Linked DNA regions of Callithrix jacchus. The protein of the gene in region 1 binds, or shares a complex with, the protein of each later gene. Links are inferred from orthologs where the notes say so. Each region holds a gene or a part of one and is shown on either strand. Other genes may lie near its edges. The genes, in order: TOX4 and WDR82.

The links.
Region 2: TOX4 (region 1) and WDR82 share a complex: the UniProt entries of both Homo sapiens proteins name them as parts of the PNUTS-PP1 phosphatase complex. The link is inferred for Callithrix jacchus from reciprocal best matches to the Homo sapiens genes TOX4 and WDR82.

Annotation. Positions count from the first base shown.
Region 1 is NC_133509.1:55,997,137-56,000,647, forward strand, and holds the end of TOX4 (TOX high mobility group box family member 4), read left to right. Parts: intron 1-356; coding exon 357-520; intron 521-1,596; coding exon 1,597-1,657; 3' UTR 1,658-2,884; downstream 2,885-3,511. Other genes in the region: N(6)-adenosine-methyltransferase catalytic subunit METTL3, read right to left, coding at 2,951-3,062. UniProt on the Homo sapiens protein: Transcription factor that modulates cell fate reprogramming from the somatic state to the pluripotent and neuronal fate. In liver, controls the expression of hormone-regulated gluconeogenic genes such as G6PC1 and PCK1.
Region 2 is NC_133516.1:34,784,554-34,788,081, reverse strand, and holds part of WDR82 (WD repeat-containing protein 82), read left to right. Parts: intron 1-494; coding exon 495-611; intron 612-1,156; coding exon 1,157-1,312; intron 1,313-1,759; coding exon 1,760-1,829; intron 1,830-2,440; coding exon 2,441-2,583; intron 2,584-3,271; coding exon 3,272-3,301; 3' UTR 3,302-3,528. UniProt on the Homo sapiens protein: Regulatory component of the SET1/COMPASS complex implicated in the tethering of this complex to transcriptional start sites of active genes.

The DNA.
Region 1 (3,511 bases):
GATACTGTCAGGAATATTAATGTGTGGCATAAAGCCATTGACAGGTTAGATTAAAATTAAAAGACCACTACCTTTCCACTCCCGCTACTTCACTTGATTAGCCAGGCTTAAGGGGAGAAAAAAGCATTAGCATATGCCCAGCTTTCTCCTGATGGGAAGAATCTTCATGTCATTCAGCTTGGCAAAGTTCTGAAGTGGGACTATTGAGGGGGAGACCAAAAACTCACCTTCTGCAGTTTTACCCCCACTGTGAGGACTTGTAATACCTGTTGTTTCATTGGTTTCTACAGATAATTTAACTAGCTAGCTAGGCAGGGAGCAATCTAATCCACCTTGATGCTCTCTTCCTCTCGTAGGTTGAGTCTCCTTCTCAGATGGATGTTGAATTGGTGAGTGGGTCTCCTGTGGCACTCTCACCACAGCCTCGATGTGTGAGGTCTGGTTGTGAGAACCCTCCAATTGTGAGTAAGGACTGGGACAATGAATACTGCAGCAATGAGTGTGTGGTGAAGCACTGCAGGTGAGCTTACCCTTCCCCTTCTTGTAATTCAGAACTGCTAAATTAATTTTATTGGGAAACATGGTAATCTTGAGCATAAAATAGAGTAGGTTGCTGTTTATCTGGTCTACTAGAAAAGCTCCCCTGCTTAAGACCTTACATTTGCCACATAGGCAAAGGTGACATGATCAGCAGTTCACATTTTTCAGTTACCACATACCTATGTATGCCCTTTAAAAACAGGATAGGCCGGGCACGGTGGCTCACGCCTATAATCCCAGCACTATGGGAGGCCGAGGCGGGTGGATCACGAGGTAAAGAGATCGAGACCATCCTGGTCAACGAGGTGAAACCCTGTCTCTGCTAAAAATACAAAAATTAGCTGGGCATGGTGGTGCGTGCCTGTAGTCCCAGCTACTCGGAAGGCTGAGGCAGGAGAATTGCTGGAACCCAGAAGGCGGAGGTTGCTGTGAGCTGAGATCGTGCCATTGCACTCCAGTCTGGGTAACAACAGCGAAACTCCGTCTCAAAAAAAAAAAAACATTATAATAGGCCAGCTGTGGTGGCTCACGTCTGTAATCCAAGCACTTTGGAGGCCAAGGCAAGTGGATCACCTGAGGTTGGGAGTTCAAGACCAGCCTGACCAACATGGTGACCCCGTTTTACAAAACAAAATATGATAATACATTAATCTGTTAGTGTATACAAATACTAGCTTTTGAATCCTTAGTGCAAATCAGACTATTTAGGGAATTAGAATTTGGGGAAATGGTAAGTGGAATAGTAGCACACAGTAATTTGCTATTTGTGAGGGAAATTGGAGAAGTTCATAAGATTTTACCCCTCTCCCCAGATTCTCCTGGGAATTACCTATAGCTATAGGACAAGGCATTTCTATTTCCTATTTCAAAAACTCTACAGTAAATCAGCATTCCCTCTACTGACAATTCTTATATTTCTGATGTGACACTATGTCACTATGATGCTGCAGAAAATTATTTGGGAACCTAATTGTTTAAGACAGATAAAAAGAATATATCTAGGCTATAATTCTGTTTGTGTATAATTCTGTTTGTGTATGTCTTTTTCTCTCTTAGGGATGTATTCTTGGCCTGGGTAGCCTCTAGGAATTCAAACACAGTGGTGTTTGTGAAATAGTCCTTCCTGTTCTCCAAGCCAGTGAAGAGTTACCTGCTGGGAACATGTCCAAGAGCCTGTTTTTGAAACACAAGCTGGGCTTCTAGTAGTGCCTGATCGCAACCCATGATGGCTGTTCATGTTTCTCCACTTTTCTCCCTTCAGCAGAGGCCACGCTATGGAGCAGGGCCACTGAATTTGCTGTAATCTGGAGATGCTTTTTGCTTTCAACTAGAAGCAAAAATACTAGTGGTAATAGCAGAGGAATGGGTGAAGGGAGTATGGGCAAGCAAAACATAGAGATGGTAAGGGGTGGTGGTGGGGTTGAAGAAACTTGTTGGTATAATTGTCATAGGACTTGCCTAAAATATTATTAAAATGATGGGAGAGTACTCAGCTTTGAGCCTAGGAGAAAACGCCACTGTGTTCATCCATTTTAAAAGGGGTAAGAAATTACAGTAAAGGTTTCCTCTTAAAAAAAATTGTTATTCCCCATTATCACATCAGTACACTGCTTTGAGAACAAAACTTTAATACAGGCATATTGGGCTACATGGAAAATGATATCACCCAGGAGGTTCTTACTACTCTTTACAAATGTTATTTCTGTAGTTACCATCCTTACCTGAGTTATCACAGTTTATGAATCTAAGAGGTAGAACTCTACATCCTTAAGAAATATCTTTAAGAAACCATAGATCTACCATTATTTATTGGAAACAATCTAAAGAAAAACAGACTAGAGAAGCCACCTACTTGTGAGAGAGTAAGTGATAACCTTAAATGGAACTCAAATTTTTACTTTTGAGAAATGCTGTCCTAGAGAACCTCCTCCTCAACGAACCATGTATATATTTATTACTAATTAGTTTGATCCTGTGCATTCCTGTGTTTTTAATGGTTTTAGAGGCTGGGAGTAGAGATGGGGTCTCACTATGTTGCCCAGGCTGGTCTTAGAACTCCTGGGCTCCAGGGACCCTCCACTTCAGCTTCCCAAAGTGCTGGGATTACACGTGTGAGCCACTGCGCCTAGCCTATGATCATTTTAATGTTTCCCATGCACTTGTTTTGTTTGAACACTCACAGCAACCCAGTGAGGTAATACTCCCATTTTAAATATAAGAAATACTACTGAGAGATGAGTTGCACAAGAGTACACACTGATGAGTGGCAGAGCCAGAATGGACTTCAAAATCTCATCTACAATACAAATGTTTATTTAAATAAAGAAGAAAGCTATTGTACAAATACCACTCTTGAGGTTTGGTTTACACAGCCATCACTATGGATTCTTAGCTGTATAAGGAAGTGCTTCTATAAATTCTTAGGTTTAGAGATGATACCATCTGGGTACCTTTGCTTGAACCGTGCAACCACATCTGGGTCTAGTAGGTGGATCCCATCCAGTTGGTTTCCAAGGGTGATCCTGAAATGGGAAAAGGAGGGGCAAACCAGAAATCCTGGAATTAGTTAATATTGTTAAAAGATGCATACCAAATGAAGACTGCCTATCATATCAAATATACCAATTCTTCTATAAAGAGCTTAACATTACAATAGTATATGGTAGAATGAGTAGTTCAGAATTGACATCGATTCTGGTGTTAAAATAGACTGGATCTGAGCTGGGCATGGTGGCTCATGCCTATAATCCCAGCACTCTGGGATGCTGAGGTGGGCCTATCACTTGAAGTCAGGAGTTCAAGACCAGCCTGGCCAACATGGTGAAACCCCGTCTCTACTAAAAATACAAAACATTAGCTGGGCACAGTAGTGCACACCTATAATCCCAGCTACTCAGGTGGCTGAGGCAGGAGAATCACTTGAACCCAGAGGAAGAGGTTGCAGTTAGCCAAGATCTCATCACTGCACTCC
Region 2 (3,528 bases), on another chromosome or scaffold:
AGTGACGGGGTTCACCATGTTGGTCAGACTGATCTCGAACTCCCAACCTCAGGTGATCTGCCTGCCTCACCCCCCCACCCCCTCCCGCCCCGACAAACACATGCAATGTGCTGTGGTTACAGGCGTGAGCCAGTACCATGCCCAGCTGGCTTAATGTTTTCAAAAGTGTTCCTAGAACTTTTGGCTTCAAGGGATTTATTTTTATTTGAACTCTGTGTCTGTAATGTTGTGTAGATAGGGGTGTTCAGAAATTGTTGTCTGGAGACTTGTTTTATAAAAGTTTCATTTTAGCTCTATGTTTGCTTTTTCTATTCTGTAGGTAGGCTGATATGTGTTCGTATGCCTTTCTTAGTTTTCATTGGGAAAAGTAAATTATATAGTGGTAAGGTTCTGGATTCCTTTTTTTCCCCCCATTAAATTAGCAGTCTTCGATTTGTTCTAGGTATGGTTGTGGTATCTGTGTTTTAGTGTGTTTCTTACTTCTTTTCTCTTAGGGCCTCATGCATCTGCAGGGGAAACCAGTTTGTTCTTTTGATCCAGAAGGGTTAATTTTCGCTGCAGGTGTCAACTCTGAAATGGTCAAACTTTATGACCTTCGTTCTTTTGATAAGGTAAATCTTTGAATCTTTGAGCTATCTTAATATTATGGAAGTTTTAAGGGTGAGGTAGACATGTAAGAGCCTTTTCTTTTTTAGGCAGAGTTTTGCTCTTGTTGCCCAGGCTGGAGTGCAGTGGTGTGATCTCAGCTCACTGCAACCTCCATCTCCCGGGTTCAAGTGATTCTCCTGCCCCAGCCTCCCAAGTAGCTGGGATTACAGGCATGTGCCACCACGCCTGGCTAATTTTTATATTTAGCAGAGATGAGGTTTCACCATGTTGGTCAGGCTGGTCTCTAACTCCTCAGCTCATGTGATCCACCCACCTCAGCCTCCCAAAGTGCTGGGATTACAGGCATAAGCCACCGCACCTGGCCCTGTAAGAGCCTTTTCTATGAAAGAAAAAATATGGTAGATGTTAGAGAGTGTCAGAGAAGTAGCTCATTCTCTGCTTTCCTTAGTCAAACAGGAATCTAAAGGAATAGGATGGGAGTTGGCTTGGGCAGAAGAAATAATTAATATGCCTTGGGCCTGGGGCTACTATTTTTTATCTTTTGCAGGGGCCATTTGCCACCTTTAAGATGCAGTATGATCGAACTTGTGAGTGGACAGGACTTAAATTCAGCAATGATGGCAAGCTCATCCTCATTTCTACCAATGGCAGCTTCATTCGTCTCATTGATGCATTCAAAGGAGTGGTGATGCACACGTTTGGGGTGAGCTGACAGCCTTCGAGCATGGCTGTTTTCTTGCTCATATTCCTGTGCTACGAATTATGTTAGCTGGTTGGTAGAGACCAGTAGTTACTCTTGACTTACTGTTGGAGGCATGCACTTGCATTTTCTTCCTGATCATGAACTTACTTCCCTTGGATTCTGTAGACGTTCATTTCTCACCAGGGGACCCAAGTTTGGTATTTAGATATAAAATAATTTCCTAACAGTAAAGTTTTCTTGCCCCCTTGAGTACACCTGAATACAGAGTTGAGGGTGGGAGTGGATTGTAAAGGATGACAACCACATTTGGAAGCTTGGTGCTTAGTACATGACAAGGAAAGGGTTTCACAGAAAGGAATGTGATGCATGTGCTGAGTCAGTATTTGTAGGCAGCTGTTTTTATTGATGGCCCTGTAACAACAAAAGAACTGCTCTGTTTTGTTTAAGGGTTATGCCAACAGCAAAGCTGTCACACTGGAGGCTTCATTTACTCCAGACTCTCAGTTTATTATGATTGGTGAGTTTCCTTTATCCCCTGTGGGGGTTATTTCTCTGGTACTATATGCATTTCTTTGTTTAAATTATTAACTAATTGAGACATTATTATTTTCTGATAGATGTTCTCAGATTTCTGTATAGCACATTATGCCAAGGACATAATGTCTTTTAACTGCCCTGACTTTGGAGTTCTGTACAGAGAACTGGCAGATGTTCTCTGTACAGAACTCCAAAGTCAGGGCAGTTAAAAGACATTGATGTTGGTCTTCTCTGGACCAACATTTGAGTTAAACTCTGTTAGCACTACCTTATTAGTAATACTAATGTCCTGGTGCAACCCTACATTCAGTCATCTTAGTGGGTGCCTGTTGGTAGAGTAATGGTATTCAGCTCCTTTTTTAGATGAGAAAACTGAAGTTAAAGGGGAAGTGACATGCCTGTGAACAAATAGCCAGAGTCAAGATCAATTTTCAAAGTGTCCTCCCTTCACTGCCTCTCCTCCCTCTCAGTTTTGCCTCAGGAATGGGTCCTAAAGTTTGGCCTGTCCTCAGACCTCAATCCATGTCTCATTTCCAGTTGTCTTTGTATTGTGCCTTGAACTGTTACATTTTCCTTCAATATTCTCTTTAGGTTCAGAGGATGGCAAGATCCATGTCTGGAATGGAGAGAGTGGTATAAAAGTAGCTGTGTTGGATGGTAAACACACAGGCCCAATTACCTGTTTGCAATTCAACCCCAAGTTCATGACTTTTGCCAGCGCGTGTTCCAACATGGTATGTGAACAGTAAGAGGCGTCTGCCATCCAGGGACTCTTTCCAGTTGGGGTAGTGGGTGCCTCAACGAGCACAGCAAGCTGTGTTCTACGTCGGTACGTTACAGCCATCCAAGTTCATGTTTCTCAACTGGTGGTTTCCCTGTTTGACCTCCTATTATTTGATCTCTGGCTGGGCTGGTCTTGTCTTTCATTTTTCTTCTTCCTAGAGGTGATCTGGAATCACCTTTGAGCTCCAAGGAGATCATAGGCCAATTTTTGCTCTGGACCCTAATTTTAGGTCCAGACTACCTGGGCTACACTTGGCAACTTTTTTGCTCCTTAAAATACTCTGAATCAGCCTTTTGTGCTTTGAGTTTTCCATTCCTCTTGGTTTACGCCAAATTCCCAGAACTTTCTATAGTTGGTCATAACTCACACTTAGAATTAACTGCAGGCCCTTGTATCTTCCTAGATAATAACTAACAGAACAAAGGATCAGTGAGTCTCAGCTCCAGTTTTCCCTGTGATCTCCTAAACCTGCCTGGGCATTCGGTGATGAGACATTATCAGAGTTGTTGGTCAGGAGGGAGGGCCACCAGAGCCATTGGGATTGGGCACATTTTTGCTGTGGGGTGGGATGTGAAGAACCCTTGGTAGTGAGGAGATGCCTGGCTTTTTTTTAAAGTTGATTTATGTTCTTCTTCTAGGCCTTCTGGTTGCCCACCATTGATGACTGACCCTGAGGCTGCTCGGCTATTTCTGTACAGTGAGGGCGGCCAGCAGGAAGAAACTCAGAGGGGACTGAGATAGTAGTGGGATTGGATCATTTGACTGGGCTGGAGAACATCCTTTCACATGGCCTTCCCATCAATGTGCTGTACATCTGCTCAAAAGGAAATAATTACTTTGCTGATCGTCTTCAAAAGGACTGTTGGTGCAACAGACTCAATTGGAACTCAGCTTT